6 linked regions of the Neurospora crassa OR74A genome follow. The protein of the gene in region 1 purifies or fractionates together with the protein of each later gene. This does not show direct contact. Links are inferred from orthologs where the notes say so. Each region holds a gene or a part of one and is shown in the gene's direction. Other genes may lie near its edges. The genes, in order: NCU01820, NCU03794, NCU04799, NCU03207, NCU06892 and NCU08663.

What was found.
Region 2: the proteins of NCU01820 (region 1) and NCU03794 purify together in Saccharomyces cerevisiae (affinity purification with mass spectrometry; 3 studies listed by BioGRID, with this or other methods). This does not show direct contact. The link is inferred for Neurospora crassa OR74A from reciprocal best matches to the Saccharomyces cerevisiae genes CRM1 and PWP2.
Region 3: the proteins of NCU01820 (region 1) and NCU04799 purify together in Saccharomyces cerevisiae (affinity purification with mass spectrometry; 3 studies listed by BioGRID, with this or other methods). This does not show direct contact. The link is inferred for Neurospora crassa OR74A from reciprocal best matches to the Saccharomyces cerevisiae genes CRM1 and PAB1.
Region 4: the proteins of NCU01820 (region 1) and NCU03207 purify together in Saccharomyces cerevisiae (affinity purification with mass spectrometry, with the first as the bait; 4 studies listed by BioGRID). This does not show direct contact. The link is inferred for Neurospora crassa OR74A from reciprocal best matches to the Saccharomyces cerevisiae genes CRM1 and RNA1.
Region 5: the proteins of NCU01820 (region 1) and NCU06892 purify together in Saccharomyces cerevisiae (affinity purification with mass spectrometry; 3 studies listed by BioGRID). This does not show direct contact. The link is inferred for Neurospora crassa OR74A from reciprocal best matches to the Saccharomyces cerevisiae genes CRM1 and RPS20.
Region 6: the proteins of NCU01820 (region 1) and NCU08663 purify together in Saccharomyces cerevisiae (affinity purification with western blotting; 3 studies listed by BioGRID, with this or other methods). This does not show direct contact. The link is inferred for Neurospora crassa OR74A from reciprocal best matches to the Saccharomyces cerevisiae genes CRM1 and NMD3.

The regions. Positions count from the first base shown.
Region 1 is NC_026502.1:2,299,007-2,302,460, forward strand, and holds the end of NCU01820 (exportin-1), read left to right. Parts: coding exon 1-1,633; intron 1,634-1,696; coding exon 1,697-1,934; 3' UTR 1,935-2,275; downstream 2,276-3,454. UniProt on the Saccharomyces cerevisiae protein: Receptor for the leucine-rich nuclear export signal (NES).
Region 2 is NC_026505.1:2,436,776-2,441,996, reverse strand, and holds NCU03794 (periodic tryptophan protein 2), read left to right. Parts: upstream 1-2,003; 5' UTR 2,004-2,177; coding exon 2,178-2,308; intron 2,309-2,375; coding exon 2,376-4,944; 3' UTR 4,945-5,114; downstream 5,115-5,221. Other genes in the region: NCU03795 (cell division control protein 12), read right to left, coding at 1-164, 222-532, 601-763, 835-939; NCU03793 (hypothetical protein), read right to left, coding at 5,195-5,221. UniProt on the Saccharomyces cerevisiae protein: Required for bud-site selection and cell separation. Also involved in nucleolar processing of pre-18S ribosomal RNA.
Region 3 is NC_026506.1:863,103-868,471, reverse strand, and holds the start of NCU04799 (polyadenylate-binding protein), read left to right. Parts: upstream 1-1,762; 5' UTR 1,763-2,176; intron 2,177-2,409; 5' UTR 2,410-2,432; coding exon 2,433-4,564; intron 4,565-4,622; coding exon 4,623-4,785; 3' UTR 4,786-5,369. UniProt on the Saccharomyces cerevisiae protein: Binds the poly(A) tail of mRNA. Appears to be an important mediator of the multiple roles of the poly(A) tail in mRNA biogenesis, stability and translation.
Region 4 is NC_026501.1:4,905,241-4,910,212, forward strand, and holds NCU03207 (ran GTPase activating protein 1), read left to right. Parts: upstream 1-1,835; 5' UTR 1,836-2,162; coding exon 2,163-2,357; intron 2,358-2,442; coding exon 2,443-3,507; 3' UTR 3,508-3,885; downstream 3,886-4,972. Other genes in the region: NCU03206 (C2H2 finger domain-containing protein), read right to left, coding at 14-585, 650-1,166; NCU03208 (hypothetical protein), read left to right, coding at 4,320-4,906. UniProt on the Saccharomyces cerevisiae protein: GTPase activator for the nuclear Ras-related regulatory protein GSP1 (Ran), converting it to the putatively inactive GDP-bound state.
Region 5 is NC_026507.1:683,159-687,888, reverse strand, and holds NCU06892 (40S ribosomal protein S20), read left to right. Parts: upstream 1-1,972; 5' UTR 1,973-2,213; coding exon 2,214-2,258; intron 2,259-2,395; coding exon 2,396-2,542; intron 2,543-2,640; coding exon 2,641-2,802; 3' UTR 2,803-3,523; downstream 3,524-4,730. Other genes in the region: NCU06893 (hypothetical protein), read right to left, coding at 1-1,428; NCU12046 (gamma-butyrobetaine dioxygenase), read right to left, coding at 3,524-4,730. UniProt on the Saccharomyces cerevisiae protein: Component of the ribosome, a large ribonucleoprotein complex responsible for the synthesis of proteins in the cell.
Region 6 is NC_026504.1:4,180,138-4,185,323, forward strand, and holds NCU08663 (60S ribosomal export protein NMD3), read left to right. Parts: upstream 1-1,629; 5' UTR 1,630-1,896; coding exon 1,897-1,958; intron 1,959-2,019; coding exon 2,020-3,517; 3' UTR 3,518-3,828; downstream 3,829-5,186. Other genes in the region: NCU08664 (tetratricopeptide repeat protein 1), read left to right, coding at 293-412, 491-1,231. UniProt on the Saccharomyces cerevisiae protein: Acts as an adapter for the XPO1/CRM1-mediated export of the 60S ribosomal subunit. Unlikely to play a significant role in nonsense-mediated mRNA decay (NMD).

The DNA.
Region 1 (3,454 bases):
GCGAGTGTCTCGTTTATCTCACCCATTTGGATGTGGTCGACACCGAGCAGATTATGACCGACAAGCTCGCACGCCAAGTCGATGGATCCGAATGGTCATGGCACAACTGCAACGTTCTCTGCTGGGCTATTGGTTCTATTTCTCTCGCCATGAACGAAGAGACGGAGAAGAGGTTCCTTGTTACTGTTATCAAGGATCTTCTTGGACTGACCGAAATGAAGCGGGGCAAAGATAACAAGGCCGTCGTCGCCAGTAACATCATGTACATTGTCGGACAGTATCCCCGTTTCCTCAAGGCGCACTGGAAGTTCCTCAAGACGGTCGTCAACAAGCTGTTCGAGTTCATGCACGAGTCTCACGAGGGTGTCCAGGACATGGCCTGCGATACTTTTATTAAGATTGCCAAGTCTTGCAGACGCCACTTTGTTGCGCTCCAGCCTAGCGAGTCTCAGCCTTTCATTGAGGAGATCATCAGGGACCTTGGCAAGATCACTTGCGACTTGACTCCTCAACAGGTACATACTTTCTATGAGGCTTGCGGCTACATGGTAGCTGCTCAAGGCAATAGGCACCAGCAGGAAAGGCTGCTTTCTGAGCTCATGCAGATTCCCAATATGGCGTGGCAGGAGATTATCAGGCAAGCTAGCCTCAACCCTAACATCCTCCAGGATGCGGACACCATCAAGGTTATTGGCAACATCATGAAGACCAACGTCTCGGCATGCTCATCTATTGGTACCTATTTCTTCCCTCAGATCGGCAACCTCTATAGCGACATGCTTCAGATGTATGCCGCCACCAGTCAGCTGATTTCTGAGGCTGTTGCTCGCGAGGGTGAGATTGCTACCAAGATGCCCAAGGTCCGCGGGCTCCGAACCATCAAGAAGGAAATTCTCAAGCTTATTGAGACCTATGTCGACAAGGCTGAGGACCTCCAGGCCGTGCGGGAGCAGATGGTGCCTCCTCTCTTGGACTCGGTGCTTGTTGACTACAACCGTAACGTTCCTGGTGCTCGTGACGCTGAAGTCTTGAGGGCCATGACCGCCATGATCACTAAGCTCTCGGCTTTGATGGAGGACCAGGTACCGATCATCATGGAGAATGTCTTCGAATGCACGCTGGACATGATCAACAAGAACTTCTCCGAATACCCCGAACACCGTGTCGAGTTCTTCAACCTCCTCCGCGCTATCAACCTTCACTGCTTCCCTGCGCTTTTGAAGCTTGATAACCGTCAGTTCAAGTTTGTTATTGATTCGTGCATGTGGGCTAGCAAGCACGACAACCGCGACGTTGAGACTGCGGGCCTTAACATGTGCCTGGAGCTCGTCAACAACATTGCTGAGAAGACTGACGTTCAGACCTCCAACGCTTTCTTCAACCAATTCTTTGTCAGCATTCTGCAGGATGTGTTCTTCGTTCTAACCGACCAGGACCACAAGGCTGGCTTCAAGACCCAGTCCATGTTGCTCATGCGCATGTTCTACTTTGTCCACCCCGCCGATGGCTCGCCCTCGAGGATTCAGGGCCCCATTTACCAGCCCGATCAGGCCCAGCCAGGCACTAGCAACAAGGAGTTCCTCACCATGTTCGTGGGTAATCTGCTGCAGACCGCTTTTGCCAACCTCACGCCGTAAGTTTTCTTCCCCACCTTCGGACCTTGTAAGGTACCGAGCTAACCAAAAGTGCAAAACAGTGCCCAGATTACCTCGTTTGTTGAGGGACTCTTCACCCTTAACACCCAGTACGACAAGTTCCGCCTCGCGTTGCGTGACTTCCTTATCTCCCTTAGAGAATTCGCCGGCGACAATGCCGAGCTCTACCTCCTGGAGAAGGAGCAGCAAGAGACGGCGGCCAAGGCGGCCGATATCGAGAGGAGATCCAAGGTCAGCGGCCTGCTGAAACCCAGCGAGCTCGAGGACGATGAGCTGTGACTAGTTGGAGAGGAGCTTAGGAATGAGTTTGCGCCGACTTACGAGTCGCGCCGAAATGACGTACCACCAGAGCAGCCACACATGAATGGGCTGGCTGGTGCTGGTGATATGACGAAAGGAAAAAGAAGCGGCGGCGGCAAGGATCACGACCAATTCGGTGGCGATGGATGGGAGTTCTATGGTCTGTGAAATGAAATATGGCGGCGTTCTTTTTTCTTTTTGTGTTTATGTAAGTCACCAAATCAGTCGTATTTCTTGTATGAAACCCAACCCGGCATTTTATCAAGAGCCGACCCGCTAGAATCAGCCAAATACTATTGAATGAGTAGCATGCTGCCAGCCTCTTGTATCTGTTCCTCTCACTTTTTGTGTTATTAATCATAAGAAGATTGGGTGGGTGGCAGTACGCTTGTCTGGTTCACATCCGGAGATTCAAGGGTGATACTTGTGAAGAGTAGTCAACAACACGACAATGGGGGGAAGGTGTTGCTGACCGACTTGGTTGTTCCGGCAAAGTAGCCAGTTGGTGCGTGGTGCCCTCATTGCTCGCCTTCCTGCGCACATCCTTTGCAGTGGTCTGGTGCTAAGACGCTTCAGTGTATGCCGACTACATACCGATAACAAGTTTAGACACTTGTCCAATATTCGATCGTTCTCTTGACGCACTGCAGTCCGTCCACCAGAACAGCAGGTGTCTATTTTTTTTCACACTCCAGAACTGGTCTCATCTGAAGCTAGTGATCACCTTTTACTTTGAGTTGTGTTTTCACTCACTAATTGAGTCACGGCATTGACTTTTATACCTACCTGGTGAACTGACTGGACTGGGTTTCCATCTACTTTGCATCTTCTCTTTTTCAACCCTCCTCTCCTTCCTCTTTCAGATTTACACAAGGCGTTTCGCGTCCCGTCTCTCGAGGCTCACGTCTCCCAATCGGACTGGATCAGACCGGCATTCCCTATCCCGCGTTTGGAGTTACCTCGCTTTCTGTTCCGTTCACATTGTCCCACCCGGTTATGTCTTCCTTGCGTCACTTGAGGCTTTAATTTGGAGTTATCAGTATCAAGACGTTCCCTTTGGGTTTCTACTGTGAGCTTAATCGTTTACTTGCTCCCTTGTAATTCGATATATGTGGGTCTGAGTCTAGTACTTGTTGTGCGGGAGTTCAGTTCTTTGATGTTTACACATACGTATATATATATGTACAAGTTATTGTGGGTTATGAACTTCCATACACTTACCTTCCCACTTTCAGTTTCAGTTTCACCTTCTTTTATTTCCCTTTTACTTTCTCTTGTCTGTCGTCATAGCCCCTTGGCTTGGCTTTTTCGTGCCCGCCCGTCTATGTGAGAATCGCCGTACCTCTCCTTTCTCTCTCTCTCTCTCTCTCTTTCCCCCTCTCTTTTTCCCGCTCTTCTTTTGCTGCTATTGCGAGTTTACTCCTGCCACTTTACTTGTGTCTCAAAAGAATGGATCTCCTGAGGCAGAATTGTGTGCTCCTCTAATCTCAAGTAGTGTC
Region 2 (5,221 bases), on another chromosome or scaffold:
TTGACAATACGTCCATCGCTGGTCTTAACATCCTTCTCGGAGCCGATAACGGCAAAGGGCATAGCGGCCATCAAGCTGCGTGCGTGTTGTGCGGCAGCCTCGTCATCCTCCTCAATAGGTGGCTGGTAGATCTTGATACCCTGAGCTTCGATGACGGCACGGATCTAGAAGTCATGGTTAGCGATGATGGGTGGTATCTTCAAGTAAAGGGAAAAACCTACCCTGGACTTGAACCTCGCCAGGTCGGCAGGGCTGAGAGTGTCGGCCTTGGCAATAACGGGAATGAGGTTGACGCGAGAGCAGAGTCTCTTCATGACCTCGATATCTAGGGGCTTAAGCGTGTGGCCGGTGGGGCGGATGAAGTACAAGCAGGCGTGGACACGGAGATCAATCTTGTCCTGACGGCGGGGTTGTTGCTCCTGGAGCATGTAGGACTCGTGCTGGTCGTCGAGGAATTCGATAATGGGCATCCACGAGTCGCGGTTGTTGACGTAGTCACCAAAGCCGGGGGTGTCGATAACAGTCAGGCGAACTATAAGCTGGTTAGACAGAGCTCTCCTACAAGACACCAAGGTCCCCCTGCGTGATGTGCTGTCGTACCCTTGAAGAACTTCTCCTCGAGCTCAGCCTTTGTGATTTCGATCTCGACGGTCTTGTCGACCTGCTTCTGGTGGCGCCTCTTGTGGTCGGCATAGTTCTTGATGGTCGTGGAGAACAGCGTGTTGATGAAGGTGGTCTTGCCGAGGCCGGACTCGCCAGCAACCTATCCACCCACGCCGTCAGCATTGGTTTTACAAGCGCGAGGTTCGGCAAGCTTTGGACAGTGAAGCGCACCATAATAGTAAAAGCAGCGCCTCTCTTAGCAACAATCTTGTGTCGCTGGTTGGGCAGATTGGCAATGCCAATCGGTGAGGCGCTCTCGGTAGTGGCAGGGGCCATCTTCAGCTGGGCGAAACACGAAACTGGGAGATAATTATGGGTAGAGGATTAAGTCACGATCCCGTTGCTGTAACGGCGAGAAGAAGCACCGGCAATTGGAGAAAAAGAGCGTCAGGCGGGATGCGTGGTGTACGGGTATGGTGGTGGTCGTGAATGGGAATCGAAATTAGGTTGGTGTTGACAGTGGACGGGTGGGAGCGAGAGGCAGACGGGGGATGGAACTGCAGTGGTGAGTGGACGGGGGACCCGTCGTGGAGCTCTGTGCTTTCGTTCAGGGGAATTTACTTGTTCAAATTTCCACACCACATTCATCTGGCCCAACCCAGCACCACACACCCACGCAGGAGAGAGCACCAGCGACGGGGACGGGAGCGCCAGGCCAAACCTAGCCCACACTGACTGAACCCCAAGCACTCCAGGCACTGCAGGGCCGCGGCAGCAGACGGACGGAGCAAGCAGCGAGCAAGCAGCATTCGATTCCATCCTCCAGATGAGGTGCCTGGGCGGGGCCACGGCAGCCGTCTGTGATGATGCCGAGAAGGCGCACGGTACACGATCCATATAATCCAATGGCACCTTTCGAGCCCGGCATTCTGCAGTAGTGTAGAGCTGCCACCACACAAGGCCGCTCTTGACTGGCTGCGCGGCAGGGAAATGAGTGGACCCTCCCCTTTTCCACTTGCTTCCCACACTTCCCCAATTCCAGGTCCCCAGAGACGGACCTACGCTGGCAGCTCTCCACTGAAACGCGCTTGCCAGGTACCCTCGCCGAGCATTTAATCGATGCGTGCCTTCCCTGCTAGCGCCATTGGCGGTGATCAGCCATTCATTGCCATGGAAACTTGGTCGACCCTTTGACCCTTTGATTGCCAGCTCTGCCAGCCTTGCACTGTGCTTGGTGACCGTGCTTGGTGGTGCCGTGCAGTGGTTGGTCTCGCTGCGGTCGGTGAGGCTGCCAGATACGCCAAGTCTTTTGCCAGCTGGTGCCAAAGCGAGGAGCTAACCCGACTCCATTCCCCGCCAAAAAGTTTATGAAATTTTTGGCTGGCAGAATCGCCATTGAACGTACGGGCGGTCTAGGCGCAACAGCAGCAGCCTGTAACTGAACTTCTGTTCCACTTACCTATACAGACTCGAAAGAGTCCTCCAGTTCCTGTACATAATCGAATCCCCAGATACTATCCCAGTTCTGCTCCATCTCCAACGTTGACAGTCGAGGCATGGAATAGTGTTTGAAAATGAAGACCGACTTCAAGTTTTCTAATCTACTGGGCACAGTCTACTGCCAGGGCAACCTCTTGTTCAGCCCGGACGGTACCCATCTCTTCTCGCCCGTTGGCAACAGGGTGACAGTCTTTAACCTTGTCGAGTACGTCTCAAGATTCCCTACACACCTGCCTGGCGCATGGCTTGTAAGCTGGCTAACACGGTCGCAGTAACAAATCATATACCCTTCCCTTCTCCCACCGAAAGAACATTGCGCGTATCGGTCTCACGCCCCAGGGCAACCTCCTACTCTCCATAGACGAAGATGGCCAAGCTATTCTCACCAACGTGCCCCGGCGCGTAGTACTATATCACTTCTCCTTCAAGGCTCCAGTAACGGCTCTCTCCTTTTCGCCATCGGGGCGCCACTTCATTGTTGGACTCGGCAGGAAAATCGAGGTTTGGCACGTTCCCTCAACACCCGACGCCAACGCCGACGGCGAGCTCGAGTTTGCGCCCTTCGTCAAGCACCATACCCACGTCCAACACTTCGACGATGTCCGTCACATCGAGTGGTCCCACGACTCGCGATTCTTCCTCACATCTTCCAAGGATCTCACAGCAAGGATATGGAGTGTTGATCAAGAGGAGGGGTTCACACCTACAGTTCTGTCCGGTCACAGGCAGGGTGTCGTGGGCGCGTGGTTTTCCAAGGATCAAGAGACGATTTACACAGTCAGCAAGGACGGCGCCGTATTCGACTGGCAATACGTTGCGAAGCCTGGACAGGACGAGGATATGGTGGACGACGATGACCTGGCCTGGAGGATAGTCAACAAGCACTATTTCATGCAGAACAGCGCCACCGTACGATGCGCCGCTTTCCATCCCGAATCGAACTTGCTGGTTGCCGGTTTCTCGAACGGTATCTTTGGCCTCTACGAAATGCCCGACTTCAACATGATCCACACTCTCAGCATCTCCCAGAACGAAATTGACTTTGTGACGATCAACAAGAGCGGCGAGTGGCTGGCGTTTGGCGCATCCAAGCTTGGTCAGCTTTTGGTGTGGGAGTGGCAGTCCGAGTCTTACATTCTCAAGCAGCAGGGCCATTTCGACTCGATGAACTCCCTCGTTTACTCTCCGGACGGTCAGCGGATTGTCACAGTCGCCGATGATGGAAAGATTAAGGTGTGGGATACGGAATCGGGATTCTGCATTGTTACCTTCACAGAGCACACGAGCGGCATCACTGCTTGCGAGTTCTCCAAGAAGGGCAATGTCCTGTTTACCTCGAGTTTGGACGGTTCCATCAGGGCTTGGGACTTGATCAGATACAGAAACTTCAGGACCTTTACAGCACCAGAAAGGCTATCTTTCTCTTGCATGGCAGTTGATCCTAGTGGCGAAATCGTGGCGGCTGGCTCCGTTGACTCTTTCGACATTCATATTTGGTCTGTCCAGACTGGCCAGCTCCTAGATCGTCTTTCGGGACACGAGGGCCCTGTGTCATCCTTGGCCTTTGCGCCTAACGGCGGTCTTCTTGTGAGTGGTAGTTGGGACCGCACTGCCCGTATCTGGTCCATCTTCAACCGCACACAAACAAGCGAGCCTCTCCAGCTCAACTCGGATGTTCTCGACATTGCCTTTAGGCCAGATTCTCTCCAGATTGCCATCTCCACTCTCGACGGCAACCTGTCGTTCTGGTCGGTCTCGGAAGCTGAGCAGCAAGCTGGTCTTGATGGACGCAGGGATGTCTCCGGCGGTCGGAAGATCGGTGATCGCAGGACTGCGGCCAATGTTGCCGGTACCAAGGCTTTCAACACCATCAGATACAGCACAGACGGATCGTGCCTTTTGGCCGGCGGAAACAGCAAGTATATTTGCTTGTACTCCGTCACCACCATGGTTCTCCTGAAGAAGTACACCGTGAGCGTCAATCTTTCAATTCAAGGCACTCAAGAGTTCCTCAACAGCAAGCTTCTCACCGAGGCTGGACCCCAGGGTCTCCTGGACGAGCAAGGCGAGGCCTCCGATTTCGAGGACAGGATAGACAGGTCACTCCCAGGCTCCAAGCGCGGCGACCCCTCCGCACGGAGGAAGAATCCCGAAGTGAGAGTAAACGGCGTTGCCTTCTCCCCGAACGGAAGTGCTTTCTGCGCCGCCTCCACAGAAGGTCTTTTGATCTACAGCCTGGACACCACCATCCAGTTCGATCCCTTTGACCTCAACATGGAGATCACCCCCACCTCTACCCTGGCCGTGCTCGAGAAGGAGAAGGACTACCTCAAGGCTCTCGTCATGGCTTTCCGCTTGAACGAGGCCGGTCTGATCCAGCGTGTCTTCCAGGCCATCCCTTACACCGACATCCCTCTGGTGGTCGAGCAGTTTCCCAACGTGTACGTTGCCAGGCTGCTGCGGTACGTTGCCGCGCAGACCGAGCAGAGCCCTCACGTTGAGTTCTGTCTTCTTTGGATCAAGGCTCTGGTCGACAAGCACGGCGCGTGGTTGTCTGCCAACCGCGGCAAGGTCGATGTTGAGCTTCGTGTTGTCGCAAGGGCTGTTTCCAAGATGAGGGATGAGATCAGGAAGTTGGCCGATGAAAACGTCTACATGGTTGACTACCTCCTCGGTCAGGCGAGCGCTGCTAAGGAGACTAATACCACCAAGACCTTGGCGCTTGAGTGGGCTACCACCGGCTCGGATGAGCAGCCGGGCGCTGGCGGTATGAGCTTGAACGATGTCATGCAGCAGGATGAGGGGAACGCCAGCGAAGACGAGTGGATCGGTTTGGTATAGGTCCTAGGATTTAGAGTACTATAGGATTTTTGTAACGGTAAGGAAGGGTACCACACATAGGATAGGCGCTGATACGGAAAATGTTTGTCAACCGGCATTCTAGTTTATAACTTGTACAGATGATTTTGATACCAATTCATGGCAATAGAGAAAATAGGGGTTTTGGGATACAACTACAACGCCATGCGAAACTGTGTGAAAGCAATGCCATACCCCCTTAGTCCAACATTTGTGGATTGCTAGATGCCTTTTACTCGACATTGGGAATATCCTCCCA
Region 3 (5,369 bases), on another chromosome or scaffold:
CTTGCTACAACACCAGCGCGGATTGAATCCTACGACGAGCTTCGGAACGTTAACGTCGGCGCTGAGCATCAAAAGGTTTCTGGTGGTAGATCTCATGATTGAGTGTCGAGGTAGGTACCTCAGCAGGAATCCAGGTACAGCGAGGTGCCTTGGGAGATGACCCCTCTTTCCTTTGTCTGTGTTATCTTATCGCCCGGGGCAGGCAGGCTGGGCATCGATGACATCCATTGAAACATGTGAAGCATGGTACATAGAGGTACCTCTAGGTAACAAGACTGGTGGTATCTCGAGCACATTGCTCGTCCGGGCGAATGAAGAGTTATGTAAGGATTCTATACCTGAAGAGAATCCTGAATGGTTGTTGTCGTCCATCAACTACAACAGGATGGTGCCTTTTTGATGTCCAATTCAATGACGATGAATACGGGTTCTATGGCCCATGCCCGCCCCGGCCTACTCACAAACACGAAGGCCAGAGGTCAAACAAGCCCTGGGCTGGCAAGGCTAGTCTGGGACACAGCCAAGCAGCGTCGTCCGTCAGATGCCTGCTCCCGCCTTGGTTCCTTCCACTTCACTTGACTTCTTGATTGAGTGATTGTGGTGTCCGCCGTGCCAATTGCTGCGCTAACGGTGGTGGAGGTAGTCTTGATATATGAATATCTTCATACGAGTTCCTTCCTTTTCCAGATGAACCCAGCAGCAACTCGGGTGGGACTGGTTCGGGTATTTGTATCAAGCCGATCTTGACATCTTGTTCTTTTCCATGTTAGACTTGACCCGGCACAGGGACCAATCACCACAATGGGACCAACCTCAACAGACAGCAGCCGCCATCAGGACCAAAACCTTTTCGTCGAAATGTTAGGATGTGTCATTACGCTCGAACTGTTCGAGTACCCAAGATGCCCTGTTCCAGACTTTGGTTTTTGCCGCTGGCTAACCAGTATATGACTGCAACATCCTGGCAGGTCATCCGGCCAAGTTGCCCCATCCAAGGTTCCGTGCGCGGCTTTGCCAACAATGTCTTTTTTGCAGGTGAAATGGACTGCGAATGCTGATACTCAGGACATCCGTTTTACTTCTCTATTTTTGTCTGGTGTGAAATATGCCCGTGGCACGAATGCAGCAGCAATGCCGTTTGCTAGCGGACTTCCAGAAAGGTAAGGCGGTCGTTAGCATTGTTCCATGGTGATGGGACAGATGCCAGCGACCCAGTGCCAAAATCCGGCACACCGCTGTAACCTATTGCATCTTCAACTCCAACCGCCAACTGAGATGGAATGTCCCGTGATTCAATACAAGTGAATCTCGCCGGTTTATACCAAATAGGTACGGCTGAAACGCAGGGTTTCATAACAACCCTCCAGGGTTCATGAATAAGTGCCCATGTCTGCCTGTTGTTGGCATGAGTCGTCGTCAGCCATGGTCGACCACAGTACCGTAAGTATGCTTGATCTCAGGTGGTGGCCCGGGAGCAAGTGGAAGTGCCAGGCAAAGTTGGAAGTCGCACGTTTCGCTGGATCTCCGGTCTGGTCTGCAGTCTGCACAGGTGGATGGATGCCTTTATGCGAGAATTCCTGGCGGGTCCTATCGATAAATCAAGGTTTTGCAGCCCATGCCACCCCGATACCCGCATGCCCTGACCGCCCTAGCCGCACTTCACCGGCTACGAGGGGCGCGGCACAGTGCGCAACCACAAGATGCGTGGGCGGGAAAGAAAAAAAATCTGACCTCCGCATTAAGACGTGAGCCATCCGGGCGTCGTTGCTTCTTGCCCTCTTTCTCCTCCTCTTCTTTCTTCAGCGGACCTCACGCCCTTTATCCTCAGGAAACTCCTCCAAACCGAAGCCAGAAAGAAGTCAGATAAGTACGAACATTTACCCTCTCGGTCTCTGTTCTATCTACTTCTTGTCTGTGACAAACAAAACCTCACCAAAAAAATTTGAAAATCGCCGAAAAAAGAGAAATCCCCCCCATCCATACAAAACCCCATAAAACCCACCAAATCCACCCACCTTTTTTGGAAGACATTTACCCAAGTCTCCAAGTCCACCAGTCTTCCTCTCCCTCTCCCGAATCTCGTCCTTGACCAGTCGAGTTCATCCTCCCTCTTTGTCAATACCGTCGCCCGTTCTCCGCGCCGGTTTTACTTGCTCCACACAACTCTAGATCTCGGGTACGTTGCTCGTCGCACTATCAATTCCTCCTGCCTTGCCATCGTCGTTGTCGTCGTCGCCGTGGCCGCCGCCAGTGCCGCCCGCCCAACGTCACGTCAATTGAGACTTGTCCTCTCCTCCTCCTTTCCGCTGTCGTCGTCGGTCGACACATCGGTTACCCCTCGGCGCCTTGATCAGAGACACAGACACACACAAAAGGATACGGACGCTGACAGTTCCATCCATCATACAGAATCTACAGTTTAACCAGCAAAAATGGCTGCCACTTCTACCGCCGCTGTCGACCAGCTCGCCGCTGACCTCGGCAACACCAGCCTCGACAACAAGGCCGCTGCCCCGGCCCCCATCGACACCAGCGCTGTCCCCGAGGCCCAGGCCGAGGGTGCTGAGGCTGCTCCTACCCCCACTGCTGCCCCTCACCCCCAGGCTTCCGCCTCTCTCTATGTCGGCGAGCTTGACCCCTCCGTCACCGAGGCCATGCTCTTCGAGCTCTTCTCCCAGATCGGCTCTGTCGCCTCCATTCGTGTCTGCCGCGATGCTGTCACCCGTCGCTCCCTCGGCTATGCCTACGTCAACTACAACACCACCGCTGACGGCGAGAAGGCTCTTGAGGAGCTCAACTACACCCTGATCAAGGGCCGCCCTTGCCGCATCATGTGGTCCCAGCGTGACCCCGCCCTCCGCAAGACCGGTGCCGGCAACATCTTCATCAAGAACCTCGACGCTGCCATTGATAACAAGGCTCTTCACGACACCTTTGCTGCTTTCGGCAACATCCTTTCCTGCAAGGTTGCCCAGGATGAGCACGGTAACTCCAAGGGCTACGGTTTCGTCCACTACGAGACCGATGAGGCTGCCTCCCAGGCCATCAAGCACGTCAACGGCATGCTTTTGAACGAGAAGAAGGTCTACGTTGGCCACCACATTCCCAAGAAGGACCGCCAGAGCAAGTTCGAGGAGATGAAGGCCAACTTCACCAACGTTTATGTCAAGAACATTAACAACGAGGTCACCGACGAGGAGTTCCGTGAGCTCTTCGCCAAGTTCGGTGAGGTCACTTCTTCCTCCCTTGCCCGTGACCAGGAGGGCAAGTCCCGTGGCTTCGGTTTCGTCAACTTCACCACCCACGAGGCTGCTGCCCAGGCTGTTGATGAGCTCAACGGCAAGGACTTCCGTGGCCAGGACCTCTACGTCGGCCGTGCCCAGAAGAAGCACGAGCGCGAGGAGGAGCTCCGCAAGTCCTACGAGGCTGCCCGCCTCGAGAAGGCCAACAAGTACCAGGGTGTCAACCTGTACATCAAGAACCTCGGCGATGATGTCGATGACGACAAGCTCCGTGCCATGTTCTCTGAGTATGGCCCCATCACCTCCGCCAAGGTCATGCGCGATTCTCTGATCGAGGGCTCCGAGGAGAAGGATGAGAAGGACAAGGAGAACAAGAAGGAGGGTGAGACCAAGGAGGAGGAGCAGAATGAGGGCTCTGAGAAGAAGACTGAGAAGAAGGGTGACCGCAAGCTCGGCAAGAGCAAGGGCTTCGGCTTCGTTTGCTTTAGCAACCCCGATGATGCCACCAAGGCCGTCACTGAGATGAACCAGCGCATGGTCGATGGCAAGCCCCTCTACGTCGCTCTTGCCCAGCGCAAGGATGTCCGCAAGAGCCAGCTTGAGGCCAGCATCCAGGCTCGCAACCAGCTCCGCATGCAGCAGGCCGCTGCCCAGGCTGGTATGCCCCAGCAGTACATGCAGGCTCCTGTCTACTACGCTGGTCAGCAGCCTGGTTTCATGCCCGCCCCCGGCGGTCGTGGCGTCCCCTTCCCCCAGGGTGGTATCGTCCCCGGCGTTCAGGGTGGTCGCCCTGGCCAGTACCCCTACCAGCAGGGTGGCCGCGGTGGCGTCCCTCCCCAGCAGATGCCCCCTATGGGTTACCCCATCAACCAGTTCGGCCCTGGTGCTTTCCCTCCTAACACCCCTCAGTACATGGCTGCTATGGGCCAGGTTGGTGCTCTTGGTGGTGGCCGTGGCGGTCCCGCTGGCCGGGGTCCTCAGGGCATCCCCGCCGGTATTCCCCAGGGTCTCCAGGGCGGCCCTGCCGTTCCCGGCTACCCCCCTGCCGGTCGTCCCCAGAACGGTGGCGGTCGCGGCACTCCTCGCGGCAACGCTAACTTTATGGCTGCCGGCCGTGGTGCCTCCCCCATTCCTGGCGCTCCTGCCGACCTCAGCGCTGGCTCTTTCCTCCAGGCTCAGCTCGCTACCACTCAGGATCCTCAGGCCCAGAAGCAGATCATTGGCGAGAACCTCTTCCCCAAGATCCAGGCCATCCAGCCCGCTCTTGCTGGCAAGATCACCGGCATGCTCCTCGAGATGGACAACGCTGAGCTGATCAACCTGTAAGTCTACATGTCTATTCCTGACTCTTCTACATATCGCTAACCTGTCTCTCTGTAGGTTCGAGGATGACAACGCTCTTAACGTCAAGGTCCAGGAGGCTCTTGCCGTGTATGACGAGTACCTCAAGACTCAGGGCCAGCAGCCCACCCAGCAGCCCGCTGAGGCCAACGGCGAGCAGCCCAAGGCTGAGGAGCAGAAGCCGGAGGAGCAGAAGGCTTAAATGTGCCCTGAGCGATGGATGATTTCCCACGCACCGGCATAGGTGTTTCTCAGATGTTTCTTCATGTTCTCCATTCAACTCTCTAGGGTCGATCTCGCAACGGGGGGTCCGGAAAAGTTTATTTGATACCACACTTCGCTTGACGACAATTATGATTTAATCTCTCCCGATCCCATGCAACCCCATCACGGTGCGATGGCCGAATTGGCAGTGGATGGATTTTAAAAAGTATCTCCAGCAGGTGGGGTGCAGTTTGTTCCTTGTGTGCATGACGACTTTTACAAGCAGTATCTCGATATGATATTGATTCAAAGTCATCCTCATGTATTGACAGGCTTGCCTTTTCTTTCTCTCCTTGTGATGGAGCGTGGTGTCGCATCATACAGGGTTGGCCATCTGAAGGGGTATGATTATGTTCCTTATGTTTTATCAACGATTTGGCGTTTACGGTTAGGGAGGGAAAACTGGCCAAAAGTGATTATCTGCAATTGGTCCGGAATGTCGGGTTTCTTCAGCCGCGTTTTCACAGAAGGGGAGGTTAAGCTCGGGCATCTTAGGGAACACATTCTTTTCGCTCTCGAGAC
Region 4 (4,972 bases), on another chromosome or scaffold:
GCCGAATCGGCACCTATTCCTCCACAGTGAGTCTGGCGGCCTCGGCTGTATCGTTCTCACCAGCTGTCCCGTTTGCCACAGCTTTTTCCGGCAGCTGAACGTCCGCCATACCCTTTAACACGGCTTGACGGCGTGCGTGCCAGGCCTGTTCGCTGCGTACGACCTGATCGAGGAGGATTTCCTTCTCAAGCCACTCCTGCTTGTACAGCTCTTCCCAGAGCTTGCAGTCCTTGCGCAACTTCTCGCCTTCCGCTTCTACCAACTTGACTTGTAGTCGACACAGCTTCATCAACCTGTCGAGCGGCATGTCGAGTTCCTTGGTAGTGAAACCGTGGTCTTCGGTCAAGGGTGTAAAATCAGCCCCGTCGTCTCCGCCGCTAGCATCGTCAACCGAGTCGTCTTGTCCGGCCGCATGAGAATCCGGCCTTCGAATTATGATTTTTACCTTGGCTGACTTTCCAGCCGGACCGCCCCCTGCTTGCATACTCTTGGGCACCGGGTCAGAAGGCCGTAGAGCTTCGGTCTCGTGGACTGTCCGCATATGTTTGGCTAGGGCATCGGAACGTGTAAAAGCGCGGTCGCATTCTGGTACGTCACGTAAGGATTAGAAGGCCATCCATCTTCCGACTGCCAAAGGAGGGCGGCTTACCTGGCAGATAACAGTAAAATGGCTTTTCCCTCGTGTGAGATCGCATGTGCGCCTTGAGCGCATAGCCGCTGGCATGCGGTAAGCTCTTCCTGCTACACCCGATCCATTCGCACGTGTACTTCTTCTGTCGACCTTCGATGTGCGAGTTGTGAATGTGTTCAACGAGCCTATCCATATTTCCCAAATCCCCAACTTTGCAACCTTCCCAAGCACAGACAGTGACTTGTTCCTGGAAGTCATCTTCGTCTTGTCGCGCATTGATTGGGGAACTCGGGATGTCGCCATCAGTATCGGAGGAGACATCGGACATGCCGTCTGGAAAGTCTGGGTCTGCCTCGGGCTCCTGGATAACAGCCGACGAGGCTGTCGACCCGCTGGTAACTTTGATACGCTTTGTGGGGGGCTCCTCTGGTTCGTCGACGGCTTCTGGCACCTCGTCCGCGAAAATCTCTTCCTCGTCGGACGACGCCATTGATGACAGCGGCGAGTCATCCGCAGGAGAGTGTTCTCTAGTCATTGTAGCTGAATGATTCGTGTGTAGAAGATCGGGTTGTTTTGTTCTCTCAATGTGTACGCCCCTTCAAACAAGGCGGATATGTTCAAGAAGAAGAGATGTGGTGATAATGCGCCGTAGTTGCGGACGACAGTTGGCGATGGTGGTGAATGGCGTCGCGCCACGAGTTGATGTCGGATGTCGTTTCGTAACGAGGTCCGCGTTGAATTGTTACCGTGTGGCCCTGATCTGCTTGGGGTTTTGTGCGAGCTACCTAGGTTGTTCGAAGTTCGAATGAATAGTCGAGCAGGAGGGATTTGAGGTGGACTGTTGGATCGAAGAAGCAGCTGTGTCTACTGTGTATGTAGGTAAGAATTCGGACCTTCCTCATTCCTTTCCCCAGGTTTGTCGACGCGGAGCTGCCCCGTCCACGGCTGGGTCTTGGGTCCCCCGTGCGCCTGCTGGTGCCGTCGGCCGCATCTTTCAGAAGGGCGATGTCCATCGCGCCAGGGTGACCGTTATCAGCAAAGTGGTAAGCGCAACCTGCGACAGCTGGCGGCCGCCTGAGCTGGCTGGCTTAGAGGTCAGGCCCCATCCCTGCCTGGGCTCCCACCGAGCCCCAGATTTTCGTCCGTTTCAGTGTGGTGTATGGGGGGCAATCGCCTCCCTGTCTCCCTCTGTTTCATGATCTCCCTGCCCGAGGCTTCATGACCAGCTCATCTCAAGCAAGTGCGTCATCCCATTCGCTAGCTGCCTAACTGATGCCCCCACTACAGCATAAGACGCCTAGTGTACAGGCGCGAGAAGCGCCTAGACCCGGCCGCTGTGGCAGTTTTTGTCAACCCCTCCCCCGCTAGAACTCGGGGCTGTTTGAGCGCACTTGCATATCTATCCTGCACTCGTCCACCGCGTCAACGCGATTTCCATCTCCCTCCCGCTTCCACCGTCTTCGCGTCTGCTTTGTGCTACTCGAGTTCTTCCCGAAACCAAGCCCGCTTTTTCTTACACACATCTTACACAATGACCGTCTCTACCAAGGTCTTCTCCCTCGAGGGGAAAGGTCTGAAGCTCGACACCGCCGAGGACCTCGAGGCCCATATTGCCCCCCTCCGGGCCATGGACGATGTCGAGGAAGTCCGCCTTTTGGGAAACACTTTGGGCGTCGGCGCTTGCAAGTTGCTTGGTGAGGTTCTCGCGACCAAGAAGACTCTTCGTGTATGTCTAGCTGTTCTCAAGTGCATATATGCGCCCCGGCGCATTACGAAGAAGGGACGGCGGCTAATCACCTGTTGCCTTTTAGGTTGCCAACTTTGCCGATATCTTCACCGGCCGTCTGCTCAACGAGATCCCCGAGGCCCTTTCCTCGCTCCTCACCTCCATCCTCAACCTCCCCAAGTTGAACACGATAAACCTCAACGACAATGCATTCGGCCTCAACACCCAGGCGCCCCTTGTTGCCTTCCTCGCCGCACACGTCCCTCTCCAGCACTTGTATCTGAACAACAACGGCCTGGGTCCCCATGCCGGTATTTTGATTGCCGACGCTCTGTCCGAACTCCACGCCAAGAAGGAAGAAGCGCGCAAGCAGGGACAGGATGTTCCCTACCTCGAGACCGTCATTTGCGGCCGTAACCGACTGGAGAACGGCAGTATGACCGCGTGGGCTAAGACTTTCAGACTCCATAACAAAGTTAAGCAGATCAAGATGGTCCAAAACGGTATTCGGCAAGAGGGCATATCCCATTTGCTGAGCGAGGGTCTTAACCACGCTTCTGAGCTCCAGATTCTCGACCTCCAGGACAACACCTTCACCCTCAAGGGAGCTAGGGCTCTTGCGAAGGTGACCCCCGGCTGGACTGAGCTCATCGAACTTGGCATCGGTGACTCTCTCCTTTCTGCCAAGGGCGGTGTCCTTTTGTCGGAGGCGCTTCGGAAGGGAAAGAACAAGAAGCTCGAGATCCTGCGCCTCCAGTACAATGAGATTACCGCCCCTGGCATTAAGGGTCTGGCTCTGGCCGCTGAGGAGGCTCTTCCTGCCTTGAAGAAGATCGAACTCAACGGCAACAAGTTCACCGAGGACGATGAGGCCATCATTGCTTTGCAAGATCTTCTCGAGGAGCGCAAGGAGCGGTTTGGTGGCGATGTTGTCGCCGAGGACGAGTGGGGTCTTGATAGCCTGAGCGACCTTGAGGAGGAAGATGAGGAGGAGGAAGAAGAGGAGGAAGAGGAGGAGGAGGAGGAAGTCGAAGAGAGGGCAGAGAAGCTCATCAAGGAAGCCGAGGCGGCTCAGGAGGAGCCAGTTGTTCAGGTTAAGGACAAGGAGGTTGATGAGCTGGCTCAAAAACTGGCCAAGACCGAACTCTAAGCATGTCTTTAGCGTGCTTGGACAATTCAACTCAACTGAAACAGTGCGCAACGAACTCCTTTTTTCTTCATGGAGACAAACACAGACGATACCCAAGATAAGCGACGACGGGAGTTTGGGGATATGATTATAGATTAGATATTGTCCTGTATCGTGTTGGATGCCCTTTCATTGTGTCGTCATCATGTTTTGGCACGTCCTTGTTTGTAAATCTCAGGGGTTGGACACAGCGACTGGGCCGCTCAACTGTATATCACCTACCCCCTTTGGACGAGGTGGTGTAAACATCACATGTCTGTAACGACTGCATTGACACGGCTTTGTTCCTTACGATAACTGGCAAATAAATAGACATGGCTTAATTCCTGGGATTTACGGTGGCTCAGCGGTTTTCTATTTGGTCATGTCACTTCCCAACGACCTGTCGGAATGGCAGCTCAGCGTGTCACGCCACAAAAGTCACCCCATCTCCTGGCCCCTGAGAGGGCTTGTTCCTGTGGCCAGATTGAGCATCGACGTCGCCTCGGTGTAGGTTTGGGTCACAATGGATATATAGATGCTTTACAGCCCAATGTCGTGAAAAAAAAAAAGAAAAAAAAGAGGGAAAGAAAATTCATCCATCACAAGTGGAAGTTTACATCGACTGCTGTTCAACTGGCGTCTGTTCTGCCTCATCATCACCTGCACACATACGCAAACACATACACACCATCGACAGGAGTGACACCAGTCCTCATCATATACAAGAACAATCACTTTGCCAAATCACCGCCCTTATCACACAATAAGCCATATAAGTATAAAGACAGCATATGGAGGGCTCCAGGCCATTATTCGAAACCACCGACTCCATCATCGAAGTCCTCTGGGACATCGCCCTCGCCGTTTTCGTCATCCGCGTCTCCTTCTACTATTTCCTCCTCACCTTCCTCACCAGCCTACTCCTCGGCTACATCGCCTATGCTGAACTCATACCCATCACCACCTTCGCTCACTTTGTCTCCTCCTCTGGCCCCGACCACAACAACCGCATTCTCTGCTTGACCATCCTCCTAACCATCACCTCAGCAGTATGGGCTCACCTTGTCCTCCGCCACTATGAGGTACCCCGCGTCGCCTATTTTAGGTTAGCCATCTGCTCCATGGCGCTGGCATTCATGGTCTCGGCAGAGATGGTGGTGGCTTTTGTACTGTATGAGGAAGGGTACGGAGGGTGGATCTGGGAAGAGATAAAGAGCGTGGCAGGCGTGGCTTGGGGAGGTTGGACGGTGATGTACGCAGTGATGCCAGTGTTGCTCATGAGGGCGGAGAAGAGGATGGAGAAGAAGATGGATGATAGAACAGGAGGGCTGCGGCTGCGGCTTGGGTATTATGGATGTAAGACGGTACTGCATAAGTTGTAAGTGGTTATCCCTTTTGATGTCCCTTTGGGTACTGGTTGTTTCGGTTCTTTGCAATGGTAAGG
Region 5 (4,730 bases), on another chromosome or scaffold:
GGATTTGTAGGTGGGGTTGGAGGTAGTCGGCGGGGCGGAGAGTAAGAGGTCGGCGGAGGTGTCGGTGCGTTTGCCCAGTTGGAGTTGGGATGCGGGGACAGACAGTAAGAAGTCGTCGTCGTCGACGAGGGGATTCGTAGCGGTGGTGGTGCCTCTGGTTGGAGGTAGGGGTGGGGTGGATTTTGGTGAGCGAAGGTGTCCTTGGGGTTTGGGTTGTTTTGGGGATGGGGGTGCAAGAGGAGCGGATCGGTCGGCTGATTGGAGGTGGGGTGGGAGAGAGTCCTCGAGGAGACAGGCGACGACTTGCTCGGTGTCGGAGGAGTAGTGGTCGAGGAGCTTGGAGATGAAACCGGAGCCGAGGTCGGGGAAGAGATCTTGGATTTGAGAGATTTGGGACATGCGGTGGATGTGGATTTCTTGGTGTTGCGTGTCCTCGAGGGAGGAGAGGTCTTTGCCCTTGCCTTTGTCGATTGCCTTGCGCTGGCGGTTGACTAGCCTTTTGGGACGGGGGATGCCACCGCCGGGTTTTTTGAAGGCTGCCAATTCCTTCAGGACGGATTTTGTTCGGATGTTACCAGACCCAACACTTTCCAACTTCCGCTGCAGCTGTTGTAGTAATGGTGTGGAAGTGACCAACTCGGCCACTAAAGAATCGTTGACATTCGTTGGCCCAGCCTTGTGCGCATCCGCCGCCGCTTTGAGAGAATACAGCTGATCCGTCAAAGCAGACAGTTTCTGATCCTGGCTACCGTCCGCCAGCCCAACCATGCAGAGGTACGTCGTGGCAATGATCACCTTGCGGAGAGGAGGGTTCATGATCTTGTAGCAAGACACCAGCCCATCGAGAAAGTCGCTACCGGCCAAGAAGAAACTGGCTACTTGTGGAGAAGATCCAATGAGGTCATTTACTCGGTCCAGTCGCTGTTCCACGCCCTTCAGGTCGCCGCCTTCTTGGAGACCGAGGTCCAGGTTCTTAATGAGGACCTTCTTGAGGGCGGATAGTGAGGCGTCTAGGGACTTTTGAGCAGGCTCGGAGAGGGACGATAAGAGTTCGGAGGATCGCTTCTTGCCGTAGACACGGCAGAAGTCGGAGAGAAATTCCCATTGCGTTAGAGGGACTGGTGGCGATGAGGAGCGGAGCAGTCGTGAGGTTAAGAGGAAAGAGTCCTTGAGTAGGCGCTTTGCTGATTGGGATGGGCCGAGAATTGAGGTACTACCGAGTGCGGTTTGGTGAGCGAAGGAGGTAAGGAATGCGGTAAGGCTTTCGTCTCTGGCTGAGATGGAGAGGAATGTAGCATCAGGAAGCGAGAGGTGGCTGTCGATGAGTACGAGCCAGGCGTCTAGGCAAGCGATCCATTCATCGGGGAGCAATTGGTCTCTCAATGCGGCGAGGGGGAACAGCGCAAAGGCTGGAAGTTTGGAGGCCATAATCAGCCACGGTGTGATATGTAAACAGCTGGCCAGGAGGGTGTTTGATGCCAAGACTTGGAGATGTTGACGTCGATGAGCGAGATGCAGTGACCTTGACCTGACCACGGGGGTGGCGTACTAGTAAACAGTGTGAGTGAGAAATATCGATACAAGGCAAAAAGACAACCCCGTCTATTTATCAACAAGTCCGAGTCTATTAAGAATCGTCAAGACGTGGTAAGGGGACAAAATGAAAGTGAAGATGGGAAGTTGGAAATGGAAGTTGAATGGTGCCCCACCGTGACATGCGGTTGGACAACTTGGACGGGGAGTCGTGAAAGGTACAAAGTGACTTCCGTTCTATTCATTCTTACGCCGAATGTGTCATTGCGGGGAGATGCCGGCCGGCAAGACCTACGCTGGACGATCCCCCGTCGTCGAAGATCCTCAGCCACATGATCCTCCCAAGGTTCTTTCAGTCTTCAGCCACACCTCTGAGGGCGGGGTCAACTTAAGGAAACCAAACCGAACAAGCGCAAGCCACACGCCAAGCCCACAAAATCGCCAATGCCCCCGTCGCGCGCAAAATATGGAGTAAAAAAATTAATCTCGACGGTCTGTTGAACGCTCGCCAGAACAACTCAACTTCCAGTTCGCCAGAATCCCAAGCTTCGCCTTCATCACTTTGCCGAAGCCGTACAATCTACTCCTTCGAGTCGTGAAGGCACCTTTTTGCAGCCCAGCAGCCTCCTTAGCAGTCAATCGAGTCGACCCGACCCAACCCATCTCAACACCAAGTCAAGATGTCTTCCTACAACAAGGACCAGAAGGATTTCGGCGAGGCCCCCGTACGTTTTTGCCCGTTGATGGCGCTGTCGTCGTCGTCGTCGTCGTCGTCGTCATCGCCATGATAAACCTCCCCCGTGGTCGGGGACATCAACAACAACAACAGGAACAAAAACTAACTGACCCGCCCCAAATACAGAAGGTCCACCGTGTCCGTATCACCCTCACCTCCCGCAAGGTCCAGGCTCTTGAGAAGGTCTGCTCCGAGCTCGTTGAGCGCGCCAAGACTAAGGACCTGCGCGTCAAGGGCCCCGTCCGCCTTCCCACCAAGATCCTCAAGATCACCGTATGTCACCCATCGTCCCTCTTCTTCTTCTTCTTCTTCTTCTTTCTTCTCCTTTCTTCGATCGCACATACTAACCCGTGTCACCAACAACAAAACAGACCCGCAAGTCCCCCTGCGGTGAGGGTTCCAAGACCTGGGATCTCTTCGAGATGCGCATCCACAAGCGCCTCATCGACTTGACCGCCCCCACCGAGATCGTCAAGCAGATCATTGTCAACATCGAGGCCGGTGTCGAGGTTGAGGTCACCATTGCTGCTTAAGTTTGGCTTTGACTGGCCAAGGCAAGGGGGCAAGAAGCTGCTGCGAAAGCACGGTTCCATGTACCCGAACCGAACCCGACCAGGGGAATGGAAAAACAATACAAAAAACAATTGGAAAAAAGAACAATTGCCTCAAGGGGCTTTGTGCTGTGGTGGGTCGTTGGGCTGGTGAAATAGTGCAATGATCCATCGTTTCCTTTCCCTGGATTTTTTGGTCTGTTCCTCTTGTGCTTTTTCCTGTGATGGTGATGTGATCCTGCGTATTAAAGATTGGAGATGATCGCATGAGGAGGAAGATGGCGTGGGGGATAGTTGAACTTCTGGGTTCTTAGGATGGTGGTATCACCTCGACTTATTCATGCCTATGGAAGGCAGAAAAGGAAGACCGCACACGGGAAAAAGGGCGCAGTCCAAGTCGTGGAGGAAGATGGTCAACTGTTGAACACTTCGAAACAACGACTGTGGTTTCCGGGCTAGAGAACCAATACCACCGCAGACACGGGACGATACTGCGTCACACACAGGTCATGACGTTGCGAAACATATTCAACTAGACACCCCTGAACGGCGAAAAACACAGATGACCAAGATTCTAGAGTTCTTCGTGTTCCTTGATTTGGTATCAAACCTCGTAATATATACAGTAGTCTACATACGCCTCGCTCCCAAGAGGTCATTACACATCATACAGCTTCCGATCACCCTATCTTCTCGCCCGGCTTTATGCGTTCCAGTTCACCGTGCCCAATTGCTCCTTAGGCTGGCGCGAAGGACCCTCATTCTGAGCCTCCTCGGGCTTCCCGGCCCCCTCGACCTTGGGAACCTCTTCGACCTTGGGAGTCTCCTCAACCTTGGGAGTCTCCTCAACCTTGGGAGTCTCCTCAACCTTGGGAGTCTCCTCGACCTTGGGTGCCTCCTCGACCTTGGGTGCCTCCTCCTTGGGCTGAACAGGGGCAGTAGTCTCCTGCTTAGGAGCCTCCTTCTTGGGCAACTGCCCCCTCTCCTTCCAGCCCAACCCATGCGCCTCCGCCACGCCAATAGCCAAAGGAATCCCCCCTTCCTTCTGCGCCAACCTCCACTGCAACTTATCCTCCATGGCCTTGTACACCTGATGGCTAATATATGTGCCCTTGAGCCACCTCTCGGCGCCCTCCGCCTGTCCTTCCGTCTGGAACTCCCTGCGCCCATGCAACACTCGCCAGTTATCGAAAATCACACACTCTCCTTCCTTCATCTTGAGCTCAAACATGTTCTCCTCGGCGCTAATCTCGCGCTCAAACTCCTTGGCCGCCGGCACCCACTTGGTCATGTTCTTGCCCTTTTCCTCCACCACCACCGCATGCTCGTTCTCGGCATAAGCACCGCCGCCGCCGTCCTGAATGACGCGGTTGCCGAGCACGTTCGTCGCCGTGGCGCCCGTCTGCCGGCTAAACGGCGCCTGGAACGGCGGCGCCCAGTGGATCCGGCTCAGAAACCCCTTGCCTTCGCCCGTCCGCCCGGCGTACCGGAACGTGTTGCGGCCCATGTGGTAGTCGTTGCCGTTGCGGTGGTAGTGGAACTGCGGCGAGCGGTTGCCGCGCAGCTGGTCAAAGGCTAGTGGGTTGTTGAGTTCCAGGGAGTAAGCGGCGCGCGCTCCGTCGCTGAAGAGAGATTCGCCGCCCTGGAAGGAGTTGGAGATGCAGTGCAGGAGCTGCAGGCGGGGAGGCGGGTCGATGTACATCAGGTCTTGGTGCAAGCCTAGAAAGACGTTGGTGTAGGCCACGTTCTCGGCGCGAGGCTTGGAGCGCACGTCCCAGGTGAAGCCGTAGAAGGTGTGCATGAGGATGCCGATGCGGTTGGCGATCTTTTCGACTTGGGATTCGACGAGGGCTCGGTCGGACGGGATCGAGTGCACGAAGAGAATGCCGAAGCGGGCGAGAGACTCAAAG
Region 6 (5,186 bases), on another chromosome or scaffold:
AACTTCACTTCGGATTCCGATACCAACAGACGTAGTGTAGAGGTCCACTTTTGCCAAGACCTGCAATGCCTAGAGGTAGCTGCCGTGCCCAAGCTCCTGCGTAAATGCCCGCTGCCCGCCCCTGACAGCTTCCGTCCGCGCGCGGCTTCTTATCTCGCATGTCCCATTATCTCATCCGCAAAACGCCTTCCTTCTACAGACCTCCTTCCAGCTTTCACTCCGAGCTACTGAAAAGATACTACCATTCCGATACCGGCAACCTTGTAGCACTTTAAACAAACCTGCCTTGAAAATGAGTTCCAAAACTCCTGATGACAAGCTTGAGCAGAAGAAGGTCAAGGATCCTCAAGCAGAGGAAGAAAATGATGAATCCAAGCAGGCCGATATCAAATTCTCACCTGAAGAAGAGGCTGCAAGTACCCACGACCAAAAGCAACAACAACAAAGACCCTCTTGATGCCCAAACCTCTGTGACTGACCGCCTCAGCAGGAATTGGTAGCTGAGTCCAACACACACAAAGCAGAGGCAAACGCCCTCTTCACCTCGGGCAAATACGATGCCGCCCTCAACAAATATGACGAAGCCATTGCTGTTTGTCCAAACTACCTGGACTACCCCTTGGCCGTCTTGCGCTCCAACGTGGCCGCCTGTCACCTCATGCTGGAAGCTTGGAAGGATGCCATCACGCACGCAACCAAAGCTCTGGACTTGCTTGACAAGCTAGAGCGGGAGGACAAGCTGGCTGCCGAGAAGGAAGAGAAGGAGAAGGAAGATGTCGAAGAGGAGATTGTCAGCGCTGGTGCAGCAAAGGCCGGACCCGCCGTTCCTGTCACGGAAACTGAAGCGCAGATTGCCCGCCAAAAGCGACTAGAGGATATTGCCAGGATACGGGCCAAAGCTCTGCTACGCCGGGCCCGGGCAAGGAGCGAGCTGGGTGGATGGTCCACCCTCGAGGGGGCTATCGAGGATTACAAGAAGCTATCTGCCATGACCAACCTTACGGCTACCGACCGAAAGCTCGTCCAGGCGCAACTCAGAGCACTGCCGCCCCGGGCCAAGGCTGCTCAGGAGAAGGAGACTGCTGAAATGTGGGGCAAGTTGAAGGACCTTGGGAATGGGTTGCTTAAGCCGTTTGGTCTTAGCACTGACCATTTCAAGATGGTGAAGGATGAGAAGACCGGTGGTTACAGCATGAATTTCCAGGGAGGTGGTGGCGAAGGCAAAAAGTAATGTTGTGAAAGTTAATGAGGGTCAGGGCTCTTGCGATGCCTACCAGCGTCGTGGTTGAGGATGAATGGCTTCTTGATAGTCCAGTCACCCAGCCATATGCACCTCTGACTGGGAAAGCTGATTTTCCAGTCACCTGAAAATATTATCGACCAGTAGTCAACACGAATCGACAGTTCAATGTCAACAGATCGACAAGGGGGGGAGATGATCAGGAGCTCGTACCCGACAGCTGCAATACAGCTGGCCGGAGCTAAAGCTCCATAAGTTTTGAGGCTGATTTATTGGTGTGGCAAAGCCGGCAGTAGAACGCCACAATTGTACGTACTGCTGCACTGGCTTGTGCTAATACCTCTAAGTACCCACGGTAGCCGATAGCCGATAACGAATTGCTTATCAATGCAGCGCGGGGCGATTTGGTGCTGGGCCCATCAAGAAATTTATTGACGACCGTCCCGTCAGCGCCTCCAACGTTCCCCCCCAGCGACTCGTTCTCGTCCTGGTCCATTCAAATTTCCAGTCGTCAACTTCTTTCTCATCCGCAGCAACTTCACTTGTGATTGCGACGGAACTCCCAGGTTTTCCTTTTCACGACATAGCGACTTTTGTTTGTTTTTACAATTGATACCCCGATTCATATCTTGTCGCAAACCACAACTTCATTAATCATGGATCTCGACGCTCCTATGGCCATGGCCCCGTTGATGGGCTCTGCCAGGACAGGTGCTACGTGAGTTTTGACCATGAAGACTGAAGGTTATCGAAGGCATGATTGCTGACACCACCAATAGCATTCTCTGCTGCAACTGCGGCGCTCCCATCGATGGCACATCCTCCGCCGGCGCTCTTTGCTACGACTGCATCAAGTCCACCGTCGATATCTCCCAGGGCATCCAGCGCGAGGCCACCCTCCACTTCTGCAAAGATTGCGACAGATGGCTCCTACCCCCCGCCAGCTGGGTCACAGCCGCCCCCGAATCGAGAGAGTTGTTGTCGCTATGCTTGAAGAAACTGAGGAATTTGGGCAAGGTCCGCATCACAGACGCCAGGTTCATTTGGACAGAACCCCATTCGCGAAGAGTCAAGGTTCAGGTTACGGTTCAGGATCAGGTGGCGGATGGTGTGTTGATGCAGCAAAGCTTCGAGGTCACTTACGTCGTCGCCAGCCAGCAGTGCAAGGACTGCGCCAAGTCATACACAGCCAACGTCTGGCGCGCCGCCGTACAGGTCCGCCAAAAGGTCACCCACAAGAGGACGTTCCTTTTCCTCGAACAGCTCATTCTCAGGCACCAGGCCCATCGCGACACAATCAACATCAAGGAAGAGAAGGACGGTATCGATTTCTACTTTGCCCAGAAGAACCAGGCCGAGGGATTCATCAGCTTCCTGAAGTCCGTCGTACCAGTTCTCACCAAGGAGTCGAGGCATCTTATTTCCGCGGATACACACACCGGCAACAAGTCGTACAAGTACAACTACTCCGTCGAAATCGTGCCTGTTTGCAGAGACGATTTGGTTGCCCTTCCTCTCAAACTCGCCAAGTCCATTGGCAACATTTCTCCCCTTGTCCTTTGCCACAGGATAGGAACATCTGTCAACCTTCTCGACCCCAACACCCTCCAGACCGCCGAAGTCAGCGCCGATATCTACTGGCGTGCTCCCTTCCATCCGCTTGCCGGCACTCCCGATCTTGTTGAGTTTATCGTTATGGACATCGAGTCCACAGGCGTACGAAAAGGAAAGTGGCTTCTCTCCGAGGTCCAGGTCGCTCGTGCCTCCGATCTCGGCGTGAACGACAACGTCTACTTCACTCGCACACATCTCGGCCAGCATCTCCACGCCGGTGACTCGGTGCTGGGTTACATGCTCGAGGGTACCAACTTCAACTCGGACGCGCTCGAGGCGATTGAGAGCTCCAAGGCGTACGGTTCCATGATCCCTGACGTTGTTCTCGTCAAGAAGCACTACCCGAACCGCCGCCGCAACAGAAAGAGAAACTGGAAGCTCAAGCGCATGGCCAAGGACGAGGGCGAGCTGCTGCCCAAGGCTTCGGACCAGGCCAAGATGGATGCCGAGTACGAGATGTTCTTGCGCGATGTCGAGGAGGACGAGGAGCTTCGTGCTGCTCTTGCTCTGTACAAGAACTCGCTCAAGACCAAGAGGGAGGCGGATGCCATGAGCATTGCCGATACCGACATGATGACGGAGGCTGAGGAGGATGGCCCCAAGATCAGCATGGACGAGCTCCTCGATGACTTTGAGGAAATGGAGATTCAGGATAAGGAGTAGGATGTGATCTTGATTGGAGTCTGATATGTGGATGTGAATGGCTTTGGGATTCGGGGTAAATCAAAATTCTGGGAGTTAGCTGTTCTTCAGGGTTTGCGTTTTTAAGGCATTTCATGAATAGATTCGGGAATGGGCTTGCCGTGTTGGCGCCCTCTGCATCCAACATTCTGTTGTCTTTATAGTTGTGAATGCATAGACGTGGTTGAAAGGATGCTACGACCGTCAAAGTACTAAATCAACGAAGATGTGCAACTTGTCATGTACGATGATCTTGGTCAGTCAAGGCCTAGTGTTACACATCTGCTCAAAATGTTTTCCATCCGTCTGTTTTATCTTGTCGCCTTCGGTCATCATCAATTATGAAAACAGGTTTATTTCGAGTCCGGACAAAGGTTCCAAAGCATACAACCCCAGAAAAAGGAAAACATATCACAAAATGCGCGGGGTTTCACAACGATGCAGAGGGGGCCAAGGAACAACTTTGAAACGAAGAGAAAAGATGGAAAAAATAAAACGAAAAAAAGAGAACCAGAAGGTTGATCGTTATCGCTCGGATACCGGGAGTCGAACCCGGGGCTGTTGAGAAAACAGACACTTGTAAACAAGTGAGAGTCAACGATGTTACCGCTACACCATACCCGATGAAGGATGGCTTCCGATTGTTTTATGCTTTTGTCACCAGAGGATGTGTTCTTGAACCGGAAAAGCACGAATTGTTCATGAATTGTGTGGTGGAGTTGAGGGTTGGGTGTGACATGGGTCAGGGGTTCAGTAGTAGGTGGGCTAAAGGCAAAAAGGGAAAAGGGGGTTTGTTTACTTCGTGATAGGTTGGGTTTCTTGGCTCGAGGGTCCCATTTTTCAGAGACTAGGTCTTTTCTTTTTTTTCTTTTCTTGGTGTTTAGGTTATCTCAAAATCCATCGTTCTCATCCCCGGGCCGTCTTCAAGTCAGAGTTTGGCTTGGCGGGTGTTGGTCAGGAAGGTGCGAAGCCCGCACGGAAACTTCTTCCCCTTTCCCTTTTGCTCCTTCCTTTCCTGCAAGTTACTTTCTACCTGCCGGGAAGAGGAGCAGCTCTGGGCAAATACTTCCCAGGAATTTTGGCTCGCTGTGAGAATCGATAAGCAAGTCGCAAAAAGCCGGCAGAAGCGAGTGGTTCAAACTGGTCACGGTTTCAACCTACCGTCGGTACATACCTAGTACTGAGCTTTGCTCGCCGCGCAGGACTCAACTCTGCAGCACTTCTGCTAAGTATCTTTGTCCCAAACCAGGATTTTTCGATGCAACCAGCCTTCAAATGCCACGGGCGAGTTGTTCGCAATTATCATCCTGGACCCCCCGAACCACTTCTTTTCCGACAACTTCAATTCCGAACATCCCCGGCATTGTTCCTTCTGGCCTACAATCAGGCGAAGACCTAAACCCCTACTGGTACTTTGAGATGTGATCATGAGAATCGTCAGATCCATGGGTCCGAAAAAAACCTTCGAGCCATGTTAAACGACGGCATGAAACGCGCAAAAAAGAAAACCGGCATGCTGAGATGTTTGTTCATCTACAATGACCATTATCAGCATCGGCCCTCGCCCAAGGCTGCCGGGCAATAACAGGGGTCGGACAGACAAGAACAAACAGGTCTTTTTTTTCAGTCAACCATAAACATTGATTAGTTT